Linked DNA regions of Coturnix japonica. The protein of the gene in region 1 purifies or fractionates together with the protein of each later gene. This does not show direct contact. Links are inferred from orthologs where the notes say so. Each region holds a gene or a part of one and is shown on either strand. Other genes may lie near its edges. The genes, in order: ETV6 and LRP6.

Region 1 (3,820 bases):
CTCCCAGTCCATGTTACCAGAATTGTTATATCCTTCCTCGGTGGAACACGTCACTTCAGTGACCACTGCAGATCAATATAAACTGCTTATTTTGTGTCTTCTTATGTATTTCATCTTGTACTGATGCCTTTCCTCCAAAATCTGCATTAAACATTTACATACTTACATGTTTTGTGTGATGTAACTTGCTAGACATTTCAAAGTAAAAAGGCACAATACAGGGCACAAAGTCTCCCAGCTTCTAATTTTGTTTCCTTTCTCCAGGGTGTCTTACCTCATAATACAGAGGAACAAGTTACAGCAGTAGTATCTGAAAAGGAACTTAACAGTTTCATCTGGGAAACCCTGGATTTTCCAGGAGAGTTTTCTCAAGTGTGTGTGGGGTTAACAGTTGCTCCTATGAGACTGAAAGCTGTGTGCCATTCAGCTGCTGTCTCTATAATGTTCTACTTGCAGTGAAGTTTATTGTCTTAGTATGAAACGGTTAAAGCTATCCTGCTTTCCACAGTTCAACTTCCTTTATTTTTAGCATCTCAGCTGCTTTCACTGTCTCAGTAGTGACTTCAGGGCATTTTAAAGAAGTGTCTGCAATACCTGAAAATCTAATTACAAACAAAGCCTCAAGAACTCAGTTACCTTTTCCATGTTGAGTACATGAAAGTCTTTTACCTCATAATTTGCATCTTTGAATGCAATAGTGGCATAACCATAACTAGTACTATAACACTCCAAGCAATAACTTTTCTTTTTTCACCTAACAAAGTATTTAAACTTCTGCATCACAAAGACACAGCTGTATTAGTTACAAGAACAAAAGTCTCCTCACTCTCTCTCTCCTCTGCTCTCTTCCCGAGCCAGTGCTAGATCAGAGTATAGCTGGTGGCTGTGTACCCATTTTATTGGTACAGTCACTGGGAGGAGAGGATGCTATTCTACTGGTTTAACCAGGAGTAGAAAGGATAGAGCCTTTATATATCAACACTCTATGAAAAACTTAAGCTCTATAGCAAATATTATTTTACAGTTCTTATGTTTCACGTGTATTTTATTACTGGGAAACACTGAGGTATATTTTACCTATAGTAATTTAGGCTGACTGAGCTATCCTCTAAAATGTTTATTATTGGTGAGGAATAATACCTGGAGAAAAAGAGGAGAGAAAGAGCTGGGACAGAGGCCATTCTAACCCAAGTTTAGGTAAACAAGAGTTTAACCTTCTGCACAGTGTGGATTTGCAAGCCAGAGGCTCTTCTCTGAGAACGCTCTATCTCCAGCCAACAAACATTTTAATCCTACTCATTTCAAGTGCCCTCACAGCACATAAAGGGAAGAGTAGAGAAATAACTGGTAGGCAGCAAGGCACTGGTATGATAAGGGGAATAACAAACAAGTTACATAGAGTTGTCCTTTACAGTCCTTGCCCACTTTCAGTACTTCTTTTGCCTTAAAACTGGGTTAATTTTTGCAATGAAATCGCTCAAAATGAGTACCAAAAAAACCCACCAAAGGATGTTTCCAGGCATCAGTTTTCACTACTGTATTATACTAGCAATAGACACAGATGTCTGGCAATTCCTTTTATAAAAATTATTCTTGGTTTAAAGTACATGCTTTGAAAAGTGTGTATAGAAGAAATATAAACCATAGTATGAGAGGCAGATTCTGCAGGAGGATGGTTGGGTGCATTCAAGGGAGTCACAAAGGAACTAGAAGCAGAATTAGTGCCATTCCTTTTTTATCAGCCTGAGCCAAACTGCACCAGCTGCGCTTCTGCACTGAGCGAATCTTATGCTGCAAGCCTGGTAACAGCAGTTCTGTAACCACTTGGTGCAAACTCTTTGATCATCTATAGTGATTGAGTAAATGTTTATATTTAACAGAGGTACCACGTATGGTCATAAAAAGAAAGCTCACAACTCTTATATAGAACCAATAACTCATATTTAGTTAAACATCTCTGACAAAGGAGGGCAGAGGCTTACTCTGACTGGGATACCATAGCAGAAAGACTGCAGGGGATCTAAGTACAGGAAGACCACATATGTATTTCTAAATCACTTGTGTGAATAAATGAAGACATAATTTGAACAACAGGCCAACTGATTCACACCTATCTGTGTTGTACTTTGGGCCAGCCTCCAGCACGTGAGAGAGTATGATAAAGTAAAGTAAAGCCCACAAGGGCTGTAAAATAGAGGAAAGGTCCCCCATGGATGAATTTTGCAGTCACTCTTAGAAGCATGTCAGCCAAGCCAGCTGTGAGACAGAATGCTAATGTCAGCTTCTTAAGAGGCTCGAGCACTTGATTAACTTGCTGCTGTTGTTGGGTCTGCAAAAAGATAAGTCTTTATGGGGAAGAGCTGGAAGCCATGAAATGCTGCCAAAGAAGCCCACTTTCTGTGGGTTCTGCAAAGAGTTTTAATGAGAGACAGGTTGCATTTTTGGGTGTGGAGTTGCACCCAAATTTACTTACAACTCAGGGGTAACTAGATTTCTCTTCCCTCTTGTCTTTTCTGTCTTTGTCTCATATAAGAGTTTCTGTCCCTTCTCTGCTCCACTGCCCAGCCCACCCTAACAAGCATGATTCTGTATCCTCTTTTGTCCCTCTTGTTGCAGTTTCTTCTCTTCTTTCAACTGTAGCTTCCATAAGAATTCCTCACCTGAATGAGGCGATCTGTATCGAAAGTCCTCTTTGGTCAGGAGCAACAGAGCCTTGCCATTCATTTCAAAGGTGTTGCTCTCAATCGGCCTCAGGGAAAACTCCTTCTCCGCCCACCTGAGCCACTGTGCGACATCCTCCCTGCTCCAGTAAATGGGCTGCAAACCTGTACCAGGAAAAGACCAAGACTGCGTTACAAAATTAGACAAGGTATGTGAATATAGGCAAATATCATAGAATCTCCATTTCTCCCCACACCGTAACATGCAAAGTCTCCAGGCAAGGTGTGGTAGAGAGATGTCAGGATCACACTAAGCATTGGGCTGTGCAACACTTCATTAGTTTAGGTATCTCAGTTTATTTTGGACATTCTGAAAAACAAGATGCCTCAACATCCCTTCTAGGATATTATTTCATTCCAGGCTTCCACTGTGGGATGGGGTTGACCCCCAGCTGCTCCTTCCAAGGCTCAGAGCAGGCAGGAGATGAAGCTGCTGGCCCCATCCATGCTCACTGTGCACCCTCTCACAGAAGCAGGGAATGCCCTCTCTACATGCCCCTTCCAGCCACCTTTACTTGGCCCTGGGAGGTGTGACAATTCAGTATCTGTTCTACAGATGAATTTAAAACAGCTTCCTTCCCCTGGAGAGAAGGCAGCATGGTGAAGAATTGTTTATACCTAGGTAGGCAGATTATCTCCAGTCTGCTGGGAGATAAAAGCTTTCTTTCCTTTTCCCCCTTGTGGGATGACTCATTGTTTGACTTGTTACAATGTGTTGTGTAGAAATGAAAGCTTCACGCTGGGCAGAGGAACGTGAAATTTGCCGTATCTGATGAGATCTCTGGTACACAGCCTCTGGCAGGAGCTAATACCTTATGCTTCAGAGGAAGACGAACCTCCCTTCCTCATCTTGCACCTGGCTGATTGTATGCCGCACATGGGAAGAAATTTCCTTCCTGGCACACCACTCTATGAGATCTGATTACCCTTGTCTTACCAAGTCAGAAAAGAAACCCAGGAGATTTGTACTGTTTTGTTTTGCTTTTTTTTTTCACTTCTGCACACAGGCAACCTTGTTTTCTGTTTCAGCAAGAGGTCACACGCAGTGAATTGCATTCTGCTGCCACACCAGATTCCCAGGCAGCGGCTTTGGAAAGCCC
Region 2 (3,820 bases), about 110 kb from region 1:
GAATAAGATGCCGGGAGGTGAATAAATACACCCATATGCAGGCATGCTTGTGAACCAGGTCCTGAGCTTGCTACCAGCTGAAAGACAGGGCTACCATTTGAGCTAGGTGAACAAGACCTGCAGCCAGGACTTCATTTGCACTGTGCTACCGCTAACAACAGTGACCACTACTTGTGCTATACTTTGTCACACAATACCTGGGTTATCAGTCTGCTTAACAGACTGGCGCACTCTGTTCTGAACTGTGTAACATTCAGTTATGCTGAACAGTAGAGATGATGCATCAGTAATGAATTTTGGCTTTGCTGCTATTTATTAAATTACCTAACCCGCTCTACATCTGTCCCACACTAAATGTACCAGATACATCTTCACATCCACTTTAGAAGTGCCATTCTGTAAGGAATCTGTATCCAAAGTAATTTTTCAACAGCTAAAATGATCAGCTTTCCCTACAGTACCAGTTCTAACCAATGACACTTAAGGAAATAAATGACAAATCCCTGCCTATGCTTAATGAATGAAAAAAATAATGACATATGTCTGTGATAAAGTTGCTAATAACTTTCTAACATGATAGCACATCTCTTATTACTACTTAAGATCAAGTCTTTGCATTTTCAAGTCACATGTCACCTGTGATATTCAGACCTCCAACACAAGAAAAGATGTCACCTATTTACAATTTCTTTCAAAACACCAACAATGAAAACGAACTTTCAAGTTGGAATTTTAAAGGCAGCATTTTTCTTGCAGAATCCTGGAGATTTCAAGGTAGGAAAATTGCATTTTTTTTCAAGATGAAAAGGAAATGTTAGAAGGCTTATTCTGTAAGCAGAGTGCTGATCTGATTTTAAAAGCACCTGCTATTAATCTTTGTATGGGAAAACCATGAAGCAAAACAGTTTTATATAAGAGCCTCACACTGATAGAAAAAGATAGAAAATCTTTTTATCAGATAGATAGAAAAAGCATACAAACATATTATTAGTAAAAGAAGCCTCTGATTTATTTTATAACTTTAGAGAGGTATGTGGAAAATTTAATCAGTCTGTTCTGCCTCAGAGAGGACTAATTCAAAATACAAGTTACATCTGATTCCTGTCCTACAGCACCTAGTTATTAATTGTATAACAACATCTGTTCAGGGTACAGTTCAGATTAAAATTAACTCCTTGAGAAGGTAAGAGAAAAATTCAGATAATCAAGTCTTGGGTTTTGTACTTACAGCATCCTTGCTCATCTGAGCTGTCACTACAGTCCAGGTTGTGATCACATTTCTTGCTTTTACCAATGCACTGCCCGCTGGCACACCGGAACTGATTGGTTAAACAAAGCACTGGGAAGAAAACCACCCCACAAACCAAGAGTCAGTATCAAAGGCTTCTGCTCTTTAAAGTGATTAAGGAAAGTAGATACTAAGGCATACAATCAGGAATATCAGATACAGAAGGCCACTGAGGACACAGGTACTTATCATAGGACATGATGGTGGCAAAACTGCTTTCCGAATCCCCAACTCTAAACACATACTATAACACAAGCAAGAATAATTAAGTTATTAAAAATAAATCTGCCAAACCACAATGTTAAAACTGTTTAAGAAAGATAAATGTGGTTTCTCAATGCCCTTGTGCACATCTTGTAAAATAGAAGACTCCTTGATCATATGACAATACATTTCACTTGACATTATGTTTTAAAACTGAAATGAAAGACAGAAGACAAATCTGGATCTTTGCCATTACACTCAAAAAATAAACTACTTCTCTGGGAAAAAAAGGTGCTTCAGGCAAGGTACTGGCTGCTGCTGTTTACACACAGTTTTGCCCACTGTTTCACATAAATTTTAAATTCTTTCTGATTTCAGCTCAATTAAGAAGCAAAACTACAGGCTTCTCTGATCTGCACTCAACCTGTACACACTGAATAACAGGGACATTTTGAAGATGATAAACAGCCTCTGTTCCAATATCTCTAGTCACTGGATGGTAACTGGGAAACTAACCTGCACAAAGCATTTTCAGATGTCAGCAAGCATCTGGCTAAAAATCATCCTTCATCACAGAGGAATCTGCTTGTATATTTTCGTTTGAGCTGGAGCATATCTTTTGGAAAGAAATTCAGCCTTGATTCAAAGACTCTTAGACAGCCTCTTCAAAGAAACTTTACTGAAAGAATATATGGAAGAGGCACCCTTTCAAGCTTACAAGTTGTCCCAACAATTCCTCACTACTTGTGCAGAGAGGATAAGAAGGTCAAGTAATCTAATGGATCATTTGGTATAGTACTAGGGTAGTTCAGACTCCTTCAGCAAAACCTCCCCTTCCAAAATGGCAACAAAAAAATCCCTAATGCTCACTGTGTTGGTAATAGCACTTAGCATATAGATTAACTGCTCTCTTTTACTGTACTCTATAGTAAGAGGACATCTCCAGGAATCGCATCTGTCTCTCACTCCCACTTACAGAAAGACGTTTACTCCAAAGCTACCAGGTTTCAGAGCTTGAGACATACCATTTTTTAAGAGTACTTTTCACAAACAAAGCTTAAGCCACTGTGCAGGACATGAGCAGGTATAAAAACAGAGGAATGGAGCTGTGAAATAATTTTCCACTCAATAAACCTGTGACATAGCAGCAGAAATTCAAATCCTTTAGAATTCTGCATTCCACAATAACTTTGGTATCTTTCATAGCATCCCCTGTACAGCTTTGTTTCTATTGTACTTTGAAAGATCCTCTGTACCTTCACAGTTCTTCTCATCTGAGTTGTCTTGGCAATTTGCTTCTCCATTGCACCGGAGGGCACTGTCTATGCACTGTCCGCTTTCACACTGAAACTGAGTGTCTGAGCACACTGGGCAGTTTTTTTCATCGCTGTGGTCTTCACATTCAGTGAAACCATCGCAGCGCCAGGCCACCGGGATGCAGTCAATCTCACCTGTGAAACAGGTGAATTGCTGAGGGGAGCATGTTGGAGGTTCTTTAAAAATCAAGCAAACAAACAAAAAGTAAAAATTCGGGTGAACAATCAGCAGATCACAACAGTTAAGGACAAGAATAACTCAGCTGCTTTGACATCAAGAAGCTGGTAAACACACAGCATCACAAGGTAATTTCTACCCCCTCTGCCTCTAAAATCATTTGAGCTGGTCTCGAGCCTCACGTGACAGATGCAAGTTCATGTCAATGGAGTCTCATCAGACAAAGAAGAGGAACAGAGAAACACGAACACTCAAAACACAGTTCTTTTCTTCCCACTTCAGCCTCTTAGATCCTTCTGCATAGATCTTCAAAAGTCTTGTTTTAAGTCTACATACTTTTCCTTTACTCGCCCTTTCCTGCAGCACCACTGCATACACAGTTGATTGTTCACTTTCTTAATGCTCAACAGTCATTGTATAGAAAACACTAAGAGGATGTAATGTGCTGCAGATGGATGTGCTGTGACTCAGTGTCTAGTTATGTGCCCTCGACAGTTCTGTCGAGTCAAAATTCTCCTAAAATGACAAAAAACTGCTCCATCTAGTTGTCTCACTATCTCAACACAGCTGTTAGCTGTTATTTAACATTCACTACTGTAACTGTTAATCTCAAGCAGTAAGTAAGCATGTATTCCTCCCCTCCACCCTTTTTTTTAATTTTAATTCCCCCTTTCTTCCTCTTTCCTTTTTGGCCTGGTATTAAACTTGCTCTTTTATTTAACTTGAGAAAATATCTGGATTATGTTAGCTGTTGTTCCATTGTGAAGCCACACATTGCCTTGATGCCAAAAAGATTGCATAATAAACCCATTCAGTACGTTGGCACAAAGGTAC

The links.
Region 2: the proteins of ETV6 (region 1) and LRP6 purify together in Homo sapiens (affinity purification with mass spectrometry; 3 studies listed by BioGRID and IntAct, counting the BioPlex papers as one, with this or other methods). This does not show direct contact. The link is inferred for Coturnix japonica from reciprocal best matches to the Homo sapiens genes ETV6 and LRP6.

Annotation. Positions count from the first base shown.
Region 1 is NC_029516.1:65,808,919-65,812,738, reverse strand, and holds part of ETV6 (transcription factor ETV6), read right to left. Parts: intron 2,826-3,820; coding exon 2,661-2,825; intron 1-2,660. UniProt on the Homo sapiens protein: Transcriptional repressor; binds to the DNA sequence 5'-CCGGAAGT-3'. Plays a role in hematopoiesis and malignant transformation.
Region 2 is NC_029516.1:65,918,316-65,922,135, forward strand, and holds part of LRP6 (low-density lipoprotein receptor-related protein 6), read right to left. Parts: intron 2,986-3,820; coding exon 2,749-2,985; intron 1,340-2,748; coding exon 1,229-1,339; intron 1-1,228. UniProt on the Homo sapiens protein: Component of the Wnt-Fzd-LRP5-LRP6 complex that triggers beta-catenin signaling through inducing aggregation of receptor-ligand complexes into ribosome-sized signalosomes.